Linked DNA regions of Canis lupus familiaris. The protein of the gene in region 3 interacts with the protein of the main gene of each other region in a biochemical or structural test. Links are inferred from orthologs where the notes say so. Each region holds a gene or a part of one and is shown on either strand. Other genes may lie near its edges.

Evidence for each region.
Region 1: the proteins of PRMT5 (region 3) and SNRPD1 form a complex in vitro, tested with the Homo sapiens proteins (2 studies listed by BioGRID, with this or other methods). The link is inferred for Canis lupus familiaris from reciprocal best matches to the Homo sapiens genes PRMT5 and SNRPD1.
Region 2: the proteins of PRMT5 (region 3) and COPRS form a complex in vitro, tested with the Homo sapiens proteins (3 studies listed by BioGRID, with this or other methods). The link is inferred for Canis lupus familiaris from reciprocal best matches to the Homo sapiens genes PRMT5 and COPRS.

Annotation. Positions count from the first base shown.
Region 1 is NC_049228.1:66,473,051-66,476,797, forward strand, and holds the start of SNRPD1 (small nuclear ribonucleoprotein Sm D1), read right to left. Parts: upstream 2,777-3,747; 5' UTR 2,660-2,776; coding exon 2,646-2,659; intron 1-2,645. UniProt on the Homo sapiens protein: Plays a role in pre-mRNA splicing as a core component of the spliceosomal U1, U2, U4 and U5 small nuclear ribonucleoproteins (snRNPs), the building blocks of the spliceosome.
Region 2 is NC_049230.1:41,069,267-41,073,013, reverse strand, and holds the start of COPRS (coordinator of PRMT5 and differentiation stimulator), read right to left. Parts: upstream 2,179-3,747; 5' UTR 2,076-2,178; coding exon 2,001-2,075; intron 1-2,000. UniProt on the Homo sapiens protein: Histone-binding protein required for histone H4 methyltransferase activity of PRMT5.
Region 3 is NC_049229.1:3,374,044-3,377,567, forward strand, and holds part of PRMT5 (protein arginine N-methyltransferase 5), read right to left. Parts: intron 2,930-3,524; coding exon 2,766-2,929; intron 1,893-2,765; coding exon 1,731-1,892; intron 1,561-1,730; coding exon 1,483-1,560; intron 1,391-1,482; coding exon 1,332-1,390; intron 1,253-1,331; coding exon 1,130-1,252; intron 1,042-1,129; coding exon 866-1,041; intron 159-865; coding exon 49-158; intron 1-48. UniProt on the Homo sapiens protein: Arginine methyltransferase that can both catalyze the formation of omega-N monomethylarginine (MMA) and symmetrical dimethylarginine (sDMA), with a preference for the formation of MMA.

The DNA of each region.
Region 1 (3,747 bases), on a different chromosome or scaffold from region 3:
TGATTGCACTGGGGGTATGAGAACAGAGACTGACTAGGAAGGGCTTGAGGTTTCGGTAATGTTCCATATTCCACATCTCAACAGGGGTTTGGGTTATACAGATGTGTAAATTTTTCAAAACTGGCAAATGTACATTGTATTTCATTGCATGAGATAGTCACCTCAAGAAGTAAAATTAAAAACCTTGGGTGGAAATAAAAGAAAGCTTTTATGACTCAGTGGTGCCACTGGAATGAATGACAGCAAAGGTATCTTGGCAGAAAAGAGTTATCCCAGCTCAGAAATCAAACAGATTTGAATTCTTTCCGATGAATCCTTCCCTTTGAATTCGTTCTTACTGAAACTTAAATATCCAGATAATATCCTTCATAGCACCCAAAAACATACCGCTTGCATAGTATCCTTCAGGATCCAAATCCACACTAACTGAATTCAAAAACCAAAGAAAACTGGATAATGTTGGGGATCCCTGGGTGGCTCCGCGGTTTAGTGCCTGCCTTCAGCCTGGGGCGTGATCCTGGAGAACAGGGATCGAGTCTGGCATCAGGCTCTCTGCATGAAGCCTGTTTCTCTGCCTCTCTCTCTGTCTCTCAAGAATAAATAAACAAAAAAAATTTTTTTAAAGAAAATTGGATAATGAGAGATACTTCTATGAGGTAGGTAAAAACTGTGAAAACCTGGCAATTTTATGAGATTATTAAGAAAGATGTCAAAGTAAACTCCCAGGTTTTTGGTTAGAGTGGCAGTAAGGATGATAGTGCCATCAACCACTGTACAGAAATAAGTCAACCAAAAATGCAAAGCAGTTAGACAAATACTCATTTTCTTGGAACAAAACATATTCACCAGTAAGAAGAAATTTTATTTCTACAGTCTAAACAAAGAATAGGGTTCAGTACAGCCTTTAAAATTTTCAGGAAAATTGTGTCACAACATGCAGTTTCTTTAAATGAGATAAACGGATTCTAAAGAGTGTGACACAAAACTATAAGTAGATTCAAATAGGTAGGGATTGAGAAATTGTGAAAATATACTTTAAATTCTGGGGTGTTTTTCTCCAAAGTTACAGTTCGACTAAAAATTAACCTTAAATGCCTTCCTTAAGAACTCCGAATACATATTGAGGGTTTTATACGTTATTTCATTCACACTAGAAATTGTCTATTTGTCTGTCTTCGCAAAATAGTTCAAAGAACACCTTAAAAAAACAAAATCCACTGCCTGTGCCTAGTGTAATAGGTGCCCAATAATTGATTGATCGCAATAAGACTAATCTTGATTCAGACAAAAGACTAGCTACATTTATAACTAATTTAATCAGAAATCTCCTCTATGTTCCAGGCTCCCTGCCTCAAGGAAAAACACCAAAACCTTATCTGCAGATAGTTTAGAATGAATTACTCAAATCATAAACCAATAGGCTCAACTAACCAATGAAGTTTAAACACAAGAGAATAGTGATCATCTGCTAATCAGCCACAAATACGTAAAGTGACTCTGCCAGACGTTGGGAGATTCTTCCTGAATTAAAGTCCTATTTTGTTTTCTTTTTTTTTATTTTAAAGATTTTATTTATTTATTTATTTATTTATTTATTTATTTATTCATTCATTCATTCATTCATGAGAGACACAGGGAGAGAGAAAGGCATAGACACAGGCAGAGGGAGAAGCAGGCTCCATGCTGGGAGCCCGACGTAGGACTCGATCCTGGGTCTCCAGGATCATTCCCTGGGCCGAAAGTGGCGCTAAACCGCTGAGCCACCCAGGGATCCCTAAAGTCCTATTTTGAAGGGAAATGGGAGTTGGGTAATCTTAACTGTAAGGAGTCGAAAAGAAAAGAAAAGAAAAGAAATGGGAAAAGGGAAAGGGAAAAGGAAAAGGAAAGACCAAAAAACCAGAAGTCCAATCCTGATTTAAAACATTTCGGAAATGGGTTTCGTCATTTCCTGATGAACCCCTGCAGCTTCTAAGTACATTCTAAAAGCTGCTTAACGGGACGTCTGGGTGGCTCAGCGGCTGGGCAGCTGCCTTTGGCTCAGGTCGTGATCCCGGGACCCAGGATCGAGTCCCACGTCGGGCTCCCTGCATGGAGCCTGCCTCTCCCTCTGCCTCTCTGTGTGTGTCTCTAATGAATAAATAAATAAATCTTTAAAAAAAAAATAAATAAATAAAAGCTCGTTAACTTAATGCAACGCGTACAATTTTCCTTAGGTCTCCCACGTTCTCCGGGAGCGTATATTTAGTCGTCTTTGCGGGTCCTGAGGGCTGAGACCGGCCAGAAAAATCATCTAGACTAGAGTACGAGTTCTAAGGGAACGAACGTCTTCTACCAACCGCAAACAGAAGCCTGTAAGCCTGGCGCCGCCGCCTTGCAGGCCTCTAAGACACTAGGGGGGAAGAAATGGCCAGGCCTTCACGTCCACTAGCCTGAAGACACGCGGGGGCCGCGCGCCAACGAGTCTGAAGCCCCGGCGGCAGCGCCCGCGACGGCGCGGCCAAGCTGGGGCGGGAGCGGCGGGCGCCGGAGGCCGTTAGCAGGCCGCGCGCGCACGCGGCTTTCCCGCCTCCCGCAAAGGGGCAGCGCGGCCTCCCGCTCGCCGCCCAAATCGTCACAGCCCCCACCCCGCCGGGCTACCCCCTCACCTCACGAGCTTCATCCTGGCGGCGCCGTCGCTCTTTCAGCCCGTTAATGTACAGAACCGGACTACCAAGGCCCGAAAAACTAGGAGTATGAATGGCCGGAAACGCCTACTCCTCGGGCTCGGACGTAAAGGGCGCGAGGAACGCTGAGAACGCGAGGCGGAAGCGCCGAGGCCCCCGGAGCCGCACTCCCTTCCGGCCGCGCCCAACCTCACGGCGGCCCCTGGCGGCTGGAGGTGTGCCTTGCGCCTGCTGAGCGCTTTGAGAGCCGGTCCAGGAGGAAAATTCCAGTAAGGGCGGGGATTTGGGGAGCTCAGATCCAATTAGTAGGCCGGGCCGCGGGCCGCGGGCTCAGAGTCCTGTGTTACGGGGCAGTAAATACACTCGCGAAGGAAATGTAGTTCTGACAAAGCCCAAAAAATTATGCGAATTCAGCTCCAACACCGGGAATGTACCTGAAGAAAATCACACAGTTTAGCTTATTATTTTTACTTTAAATTCTAGTCACAGGGGCACCTGGGTGGCTCAGTGGTTGAGTGTCTGCCTTTGGCTCAGGTCGTGATCCCAGGGTCCTGGGATGGAGTCTTGCATGAGGCTCCCCTGCATGGAGCCTGCTTCTCCCTCTGCCTGTGTCCCTGCCTCTCTCTGTGTATCTCTCATGAATAAATAAATGAAATCTTTTTTTTTTTAATTTTTATTTATTTATGATAGTCACACAGAGATAGAGACAGAGGTAGAGACACAGGCAGAGGGAGAAGCAGGCTCCATGCACCGGGAGCCCGACGTGGGATTCGATCCCGGGTCTCCAGGATCGCGCCCTGGGCCAAAGGCAGGCGCCAAACCGCTGCGCCACCCAGGGATCCCTAAAATCTTTTTCTTTAAAGATTTTATTTATTTATGAAACAGAGAGAGAGAGGGGGGCAGAGACACAGGCAGAGGGAGAAGCAGGCTCCATGCAGGGAGCCCGACGTGGGACTCAATCCCGGGTCTCCAGGATCACACCCTGGGCCGAAGGCAGGCGCTAAACCGCTGAGCTACCCAGGGATTCCCTAAATAAATAACATCTTAAAAAAAATTTGGTCACAAACCTCAGAATGGCACCTAC
Region 2 (3,747 bases), on a different chromosome or scaffold from region 3:
AGTATTAAGCTACCGTTTCATGGCCTCAAACCCCACTCTTCCATCCTCACCTTTCTGAGGGTGGGGCTGGGACTCTGCAATCCCTATTTCTGTTTTGCCGTATTAGATGCATCAAGGCTGGAGGTAGAAGGGCCTCTCTCCTTCCTATTCCTGCAGATACCACCCCAGCGACACTTCATCCCTGGCAGCATCAGCAGTACCTTCCTATAGCAGCTGCTCGATCCAGTTTAGTTTGCCAACATTGGCAGAGCCAACTTCATCACTGGGCCCTCTCTTCAGGGGTCTCCATCCTAGGCCCTCAGGACCCCTCCTCCAAGCTCTGAGACCCCAGCAGTAGCTGCAGGCAGCACCTCTTCCTGAGAAGTTGGGATTCCAGCTCTGTGAATCTCTTCTCCTCTGAGCCTGTAAATTTTAATCATTTCAACCTCATTCCCTCTAACTTCCTACCAAATTCTGTCTCCTGATACATAGGGGCAACATGTAGCTGTACTTCCTAAGTAATGCTCAAGGGAAATCTTCTTCTACAGCCAACCATATGCTTCTCTGCTCTCATCACTTAAAGACCATTTTGTAAAAGGAACAAGAAATGTTCACAGCCTGCCTAAGAAGACCTGGTTTCAATTCAGGCTCTGCCATTCATTCAGAGTGTGACCTTGGATAGCTTGCTTCAACCACCATGCCTGGGCTTCCTTCTCTGGACACTGGAGAGGACTATTCTGACCTTGCAAGGAGCTTACAATGGAGAGAACACTTCTGAAAACACCACGGACATAACAGGAATGTAACATTAGTTGAACTGAAACCCCCTTTCTTTGCCCTCACACCTAAACTGCACTTGGCACCGGCCTCAGTTGGCTCATGACCTAGTCATCCTTAGATTTAATGAATAAATTCCACCTTGGGAATGGTTGAATGACAACCCTCCGGACTACTGCAGGTCAGCTGATAGGCTCCCTCACGTGCACCACTGCCATAGCCACTTGTCCTCCCATTCACCCACCCTGCCCAACCTTAACAGGATTAATCATCACTCTGCTCAAAAATTTTCAACAGCCCTCCACAGAGGAGCATAACATTGGCCATGGCATTCACACTTCCCCATCACCACCTATCAACCTGTGGAGCATCGTTCTCTCCCCTGGCTCTGAGGCTCTATGACCCCAGCTCCCAGCCATCTGCCCTGTACCTCCTCACCTCCAGGCCTCTGCAGGCACCACCACCCTGTCCCCTTGGAGAGAAGCGTACATCCCTTCCTGTACGTCCTGAAGTCTCATCCCATCTGCATTCCAAAGTAATTTTATACCTATCACTACATTTTTCATATCTTACTCCGGTTTAGTACCCTCTTTGATGCTTAAACCAGCATTCCATTCCTCCCTCAGATTTAGGAGCTGTGTCTCTCGGTACTACGCCAGGCGCCGGGTTTACAGCACTCAACAGAGGGTTCCTCCCCTCGCGGAGCTCACCATCCAGAACTTACTGACCGTAAACAAGGACAGACAGGTGAGGACGGTAAAAACGGTCTTTGAAAAACCAGAAGCTGTCTGGCGCGCAAATGAAAACAAGTTTTTGGAAACCCTGCGTCAAGCTGGGCCTTTGGTTTCAGTAAACAGAAAAGGAGAGCGCAGGAGACCTCATGCGGTGCCCAGGGCGCGCTGTGCGTAGCCACCCGTGGTCACAGGTCCCTCACCTGGCCGCGGCCCAGCCCCCCCACCCCCCGCCCCGCCCCGCCCCGCCCAGGGCCCCCGGCCCGGGCGGTCAGCATCACCTCCCATCCAGCAAGCGCGCAGAGGCGCCGCGGCACCGCCAGCCCGCCGCGCTCGCCCACCCACGCTCTCGGGCCCGCGGCCCGGCAGTTTCCAGCGCGAGCGCGCGCCCAAACGGCGCTCCCCTGGCCCCGCGGCCCCCGCCCGCCCCGCCCCGCCCGGCACGGCCCGCCCGGCCTGGCCCGCGAGCCCCGCAACTTCCCGCCCCGGGCCGCAGGTGGCGGCCGCGCTCACCCCCGGGCTGGGGGGCGCCCCCCGAGGCGGCTCGGCGGCCCCCAGCGCCCGGGCTCCGGCGGCCTGACGGTCCATGCCTGGCGGCCCGCGGCTCGGCGCCCTGGACGCTGCTCGGCCACGTGACGCGCCCGCCTGGCTGCCAGCCGGAGCATACGCCGCGGAGGGGCCAATCAGCCGGGGGTGCTCCCGGCCGAGGGGGGCGGGGCACGGGTCACGAGGAAGCCGGGGGCGGGGCGGGAGGGGCGGGGCCGGCGGCAGCCCAAGCCCCTCACCTACGGGTCCCGGGATCGGATTTTTGTCGGTCCTGCCGGTGCATATCCCAGGGCTGGCGACTAGCTGGGTCTGCAGCGCCAGCTGTTATCTCTGTCTGCCGCACCAGGCTGGATGTGCTTCAGCCCTCAAACCTCGGATTCCTGTTAGAATATTCAGTTACCGGAGCCTACCTGACAGTCTCCGAAGCTCAGCTCTCAAAAGTTAAATTGAGCTCCAACCACATTGCACTCTTTTCGTCACAGGTGCTTGTAGAACTCAGGCTAGAATTGGGCCACCCACAAATGGATGTGCCCAGTGATCCTCCATCCTAAGTTAATGATAGTTCTTAAAGTTAATGCATCAGAAACCAGGACAGATGATGAAAACAATGTGCAGACACCATATGAGTCACACTGACCCTAAACATTGAGCTGCCACGGTAGCCTGGCCTGGGCTCCTGTTTTTTGATGCTTGTCAACAACTGGCCCTCTGCAGCCCCAGGGGAACAGCAGGCGGCCAGGGCAGGAGCTGGAGATAAACTCAACTCTAAAGTCAGCTTTCCCTGCCTTTCCCATACTGCCTAAACTGTTAATAACAAACCTACTTAGGGTGTAATAATCATTTTAACAATGAAGTAGAAGAAAAGCTAGAAGCTGGGATTCCTGCTCACTAGGCCACCTTATGACAATCTTTGGGGATATTAGACAGCTTACTTCATCTCCCTTGAAGAATGTGTTTATAAATCATAAAAGAGGGCACCTAGGTGGCTCAGTTCGTTAAACATCTGCCTTCAGTTCAGGTCATGATCCCAGGGTCCTGGGATTGAGTCTGGCATTGGGGTCCCTGCTCAGCAGGAAGTCTGCTTCTCCCACTCCCTCTGCCCATTCTCTCTCTCATAAAACCTTCAAAAAATAAAAAACCATAAAAGATATTTTTAAAAAATTAGTATAATGGGAGTGTGGAAGGGATGGGCAAAACAGGTGAAGGGGAGTGAGAGACACAATCTTCTAATCATGGAATAATAAGTCATGAGGTAAAAGGTACAGTGAAGGGGAGTGAGAGACACAATCTTCTAATCATGGAATAAGTCATGGGGTAAAAGGTACAGTATAGGGAATATAACCAATGCTACTGTAGTGGACTTATATGGTGACAGATGGGAGCTACACTTGTAAGCACAGCCTAACATATGGAGTTGTTGAATCTGCTATGTTGTACACCTGAAACTAATGTTCACATTGTGTCAACTACAGTCAAATTTAAAATTTTAAATAAAAAATTTTACTACTCTAAAAAAATTTAGTATAACATTTGATACACACTATCTTTTCTTTCCTCTATGTAGACTTTTCCTGCAGAGAAAAGAATGTGACCAATTAAGGTGTGCTCTGTTCTGACCCATGAGTCAAGTTTTCCCAAATCTAATTGGATCTAGGTCAACACTCTCCCAACAGAACCTTTACTAGTGGAAATAAAAGCTCTATTAAAGTGTGCT
Region 3 (3,524 bases):
AAGAGGACTAAAAAGAAAAGAGCTCTGCAGAAGACAGTGGCTTTTTACCTCAGGGTCTCGGTCCTTTTCTCGACAGGCTCTGACCTCATTGTATAACTTGGAGGAGGAGATGGGAGCCAGAAAGGAGGTGTACTCCCCAGGGATGCTCACACCATCATCTGCAGAGCAGGAGGATCATATAAGTTCCGAAGGGATGAAAATGGTATGTCTAACTGAAGGTTTAAAGCTCCCACATCAAATAGACCCAGGCAGGGGCACCTGGCTAGCTAAGTTACTAAGCTGGTGAAATGTACAACTCTTGATCTCAGGGTCGTACGTTCAAGCCCCATGTTGGGCATGAAGCCTACTTAAAATAAAAATTGAAAACAAAACAAAACAAAACAACCCCCAAAACAGACCCAGGTGGCTCAATGTTGTCACATTCCCAGGCCAACCTCCTTCCAACCCCTGTCATGGGAGATTCTACTTCTAGGTTAACCTACAGAGACACACAAGATTAAAACTGGAAAAAACCCTAAGATATTCTGAACTAATGGTTCTTCTGTGGGGTCTTAGAACTCTTAGAGATCTGGATGAAAGCTAAGCCCAAGGTATGTATCATGTCAGTATAGGGAGTCCACAGATCTCAGACTAAGAATCTCTAATCTAGTCCACTCCTCTCATTTTTACAGATATAAAATTTTACAGAATGCTGAGGTTCAGAAAGATGATTGCATTTGCTAAAGGCACTGACCCAAGTCCCACCCACCTTCCCCTAAACTTTGCAACCTCCTCCAAGGCTGCTATACCCGCACCCCCACCCACCACAGCCTTCCTAGCTGATAATCCATTCCCCTTAAGCTGGTACATCCCAGCCTGGAGGCACCTTTTAGGAAGTGTTGGGCTCCATCCAGGCACTCAGGTGACAGTTCATTGTCAGCGAAGGAGCCTAGAAGCTCACTGACGATGATGTCTGCCTTCTCTGGAGCCACCCATTCCCGCATGTCCGATGAGACTACTGTCACCTGGCTTCCCCATTCTTCAAATTGCCAGTTCTCTAGCCTAAAATAAAGATGATGCAAGTGAGGACACTAATAAAAAAAAAACTGGCACTGTAGATAAACTTCCCAACAAGGAGGTTGCTACTCACGTCACCACAGCATTTGGATTCTTCTCCACAGCATACAGCTTTATCCGCCGGTCAGCCTGCTTGGCTGCCCGCAGGGAAGCGTTCACCAGGGGACCCCGGCCTGCTCCCAGCACCATTAGCACCCTAAGAGAGAAAGGGGAAGGGTCAAGCTGACTTGGCAGATAAAGAAGTCATCATGCATATCTCTGGGAAGAGCACTCACTGGATATTGGTATCCTTCTCCTCATCTGGCACTCGATCTAACAGACATTTATAGATGGCCTGGGGAGGGAAGGAGAAAAGACCTTGTGGCTCCAATCCCACCTTCACCAAGGTCTTCCTGGCCCTGTACTTGACCTAGACCCACATTATACCTGCTGATATTGAGAATATTTGATAGGGTCCTTTTCAAACACTTCATAAGTCTGAGATTCCAGATTGTCCATCAGTGGCTGATGAAGAAGAGGAAAAAGGCAAAGTTAGCCAGCCAGTTTCTGGCAGGGGCAAAGCACCAGCATACCAAAAACTTTCCCACTGCCTCCTGAGCTTTGATAGGATGGTAGGGCACCTACTTCCAAAGCCATTTCCCCTACAGCTCCCTCTCGCTGCACTGTAGACCGACCTGGAGTGGAGACTGCAGATAGTCTTCATAGCCCTTGGCAAAGAGTTCATAGGCATTGGGTGGAGGGCGGTTCTGGCTCAGGTATTCCAGGTACTGGAGATAAGAGCAGAACTCCTTCTCTGAGTGGTGGTTGGTGCCTGTGATGATGAACTGCACTTCCAACTGTGAGAGAGGTCAGACCATCAGACGCAGTTCTCGAACCAAGATTCTGGAATATTGTTATGGTTTATGGCCAAAGAGCCCTAGCATAAAATAAGGCCTGGCCTAGCAGTCTTCCAGTTCAAAAATCCCTCCAGGTACCAACAAAATAGCATGACGCTTCAATAAACTCATAAAGCCCTCCTATGTGGTATAAGCTTCATCCTGGCTCAAACAGGCCCATGGATCCTCACTATAACATCTTTTTTTTTTTTTTAAGATTTAATTTATTTATTCACGAGAGACACAGAGAGAGTGAGAGAGGCAGAGACATAGGCAGATGGAGAAGCAGGCTCCTCACAGGGAGCCTGGTGTGGGACTCGATCCCTGGACCTGGGATCACATCCTGAGCTGAAGGCAGACACTCAATCACTGAGCCACTCAGGCATCCCATCACTTTAACATCTTTTTTTTTTTTTTTTTTTAAGATTTTATTTATTTATTCATGAAACACACAAAGAGAGAGAGGCAGAGACACAGGCAGAGGGAGAAGCAGGCTCCATGCAAGGAGCCCGATGCGGGACTTGATCCCCGGACCCCAGGATCACGCCCTGGGCGGAAGGCAGGCACTCAACCGCTAAGCTACCCAGGGATTCCCACTTTAACATCTTAAATGAAACCTGCAAACTTCTCATGAGATCTGGTTCCTTCTAAAATGTTTCTGGGACACCTACTGCCATTTGCCTCTTTTGTTCTCAAGACCTCCAACTTTGCTAAAATTGCTCTCCAGAAACCAGAGAGGAAAAGAATCAGGCCCACAGGAAAAAAAGCATCATACATATGTGAGTAAGGCAAGAGGATTAGCTGGAATACCTTTTGAACCCTTCTACCACCCACCTTGAGAAGCCGGAAGATCAGCCTCTGGTGCATCTTAGAAAGAACAGGAAATCCCTTCTTATTGGTCAGGAAAATGCTGGTGGGGAGAATGGCTGCTTTGATGGGCTCCCCAAGCCAACGATCAATGACATGATTAGATGGGAGGTCAGCCCCAATTTCAAGAGCTACACAAGGAAAAAGAAAGACCAGTTACCTACTGCTAGGCAAAAAGGCTTTCCTTGCTGTTTTTGTGCAAGATCTGTTTACTCCCTAAGAGCAAGACAGAATGAGGCAGAGAGAAAACTGCCCAGCAGCCAAGTATACATGAAACTCCTGATTCTTTTCTTTTTTAACTATATCCAGCTTTATTAAAGATACTTTTCAAAAGCAATCATAGTGTTTCAGGCAGGATGTGGGCAGATAATCCTAAACAGTATACAACAACTTTCAAACTCCCTTCTTCAATGGACTACTAAAATCAGAGAGCTACTATAAAACACAGTGTGATGCTCTGAATAGGCAAAGTTTCGAATGAGACTTGATAGTTCACCTTTAGCATGCTATTGCTAACAACTTTTCACAAGCCAATCCTGACTTCCAGGAAACCAAATGAGAATGACAGAATTATCAATCTGAAGATTCACAAGCTAAAAAGGGAACTCTTGAAGGATGCCATCTCCATGGTGACACTGCAAAGTCCATATTGCCTGATATACTGGCAACCATGTTTTGGGGTCAGGTTCCAACAGGTCTCTGGGTTTAAGGGAGTCAAGTCCATGT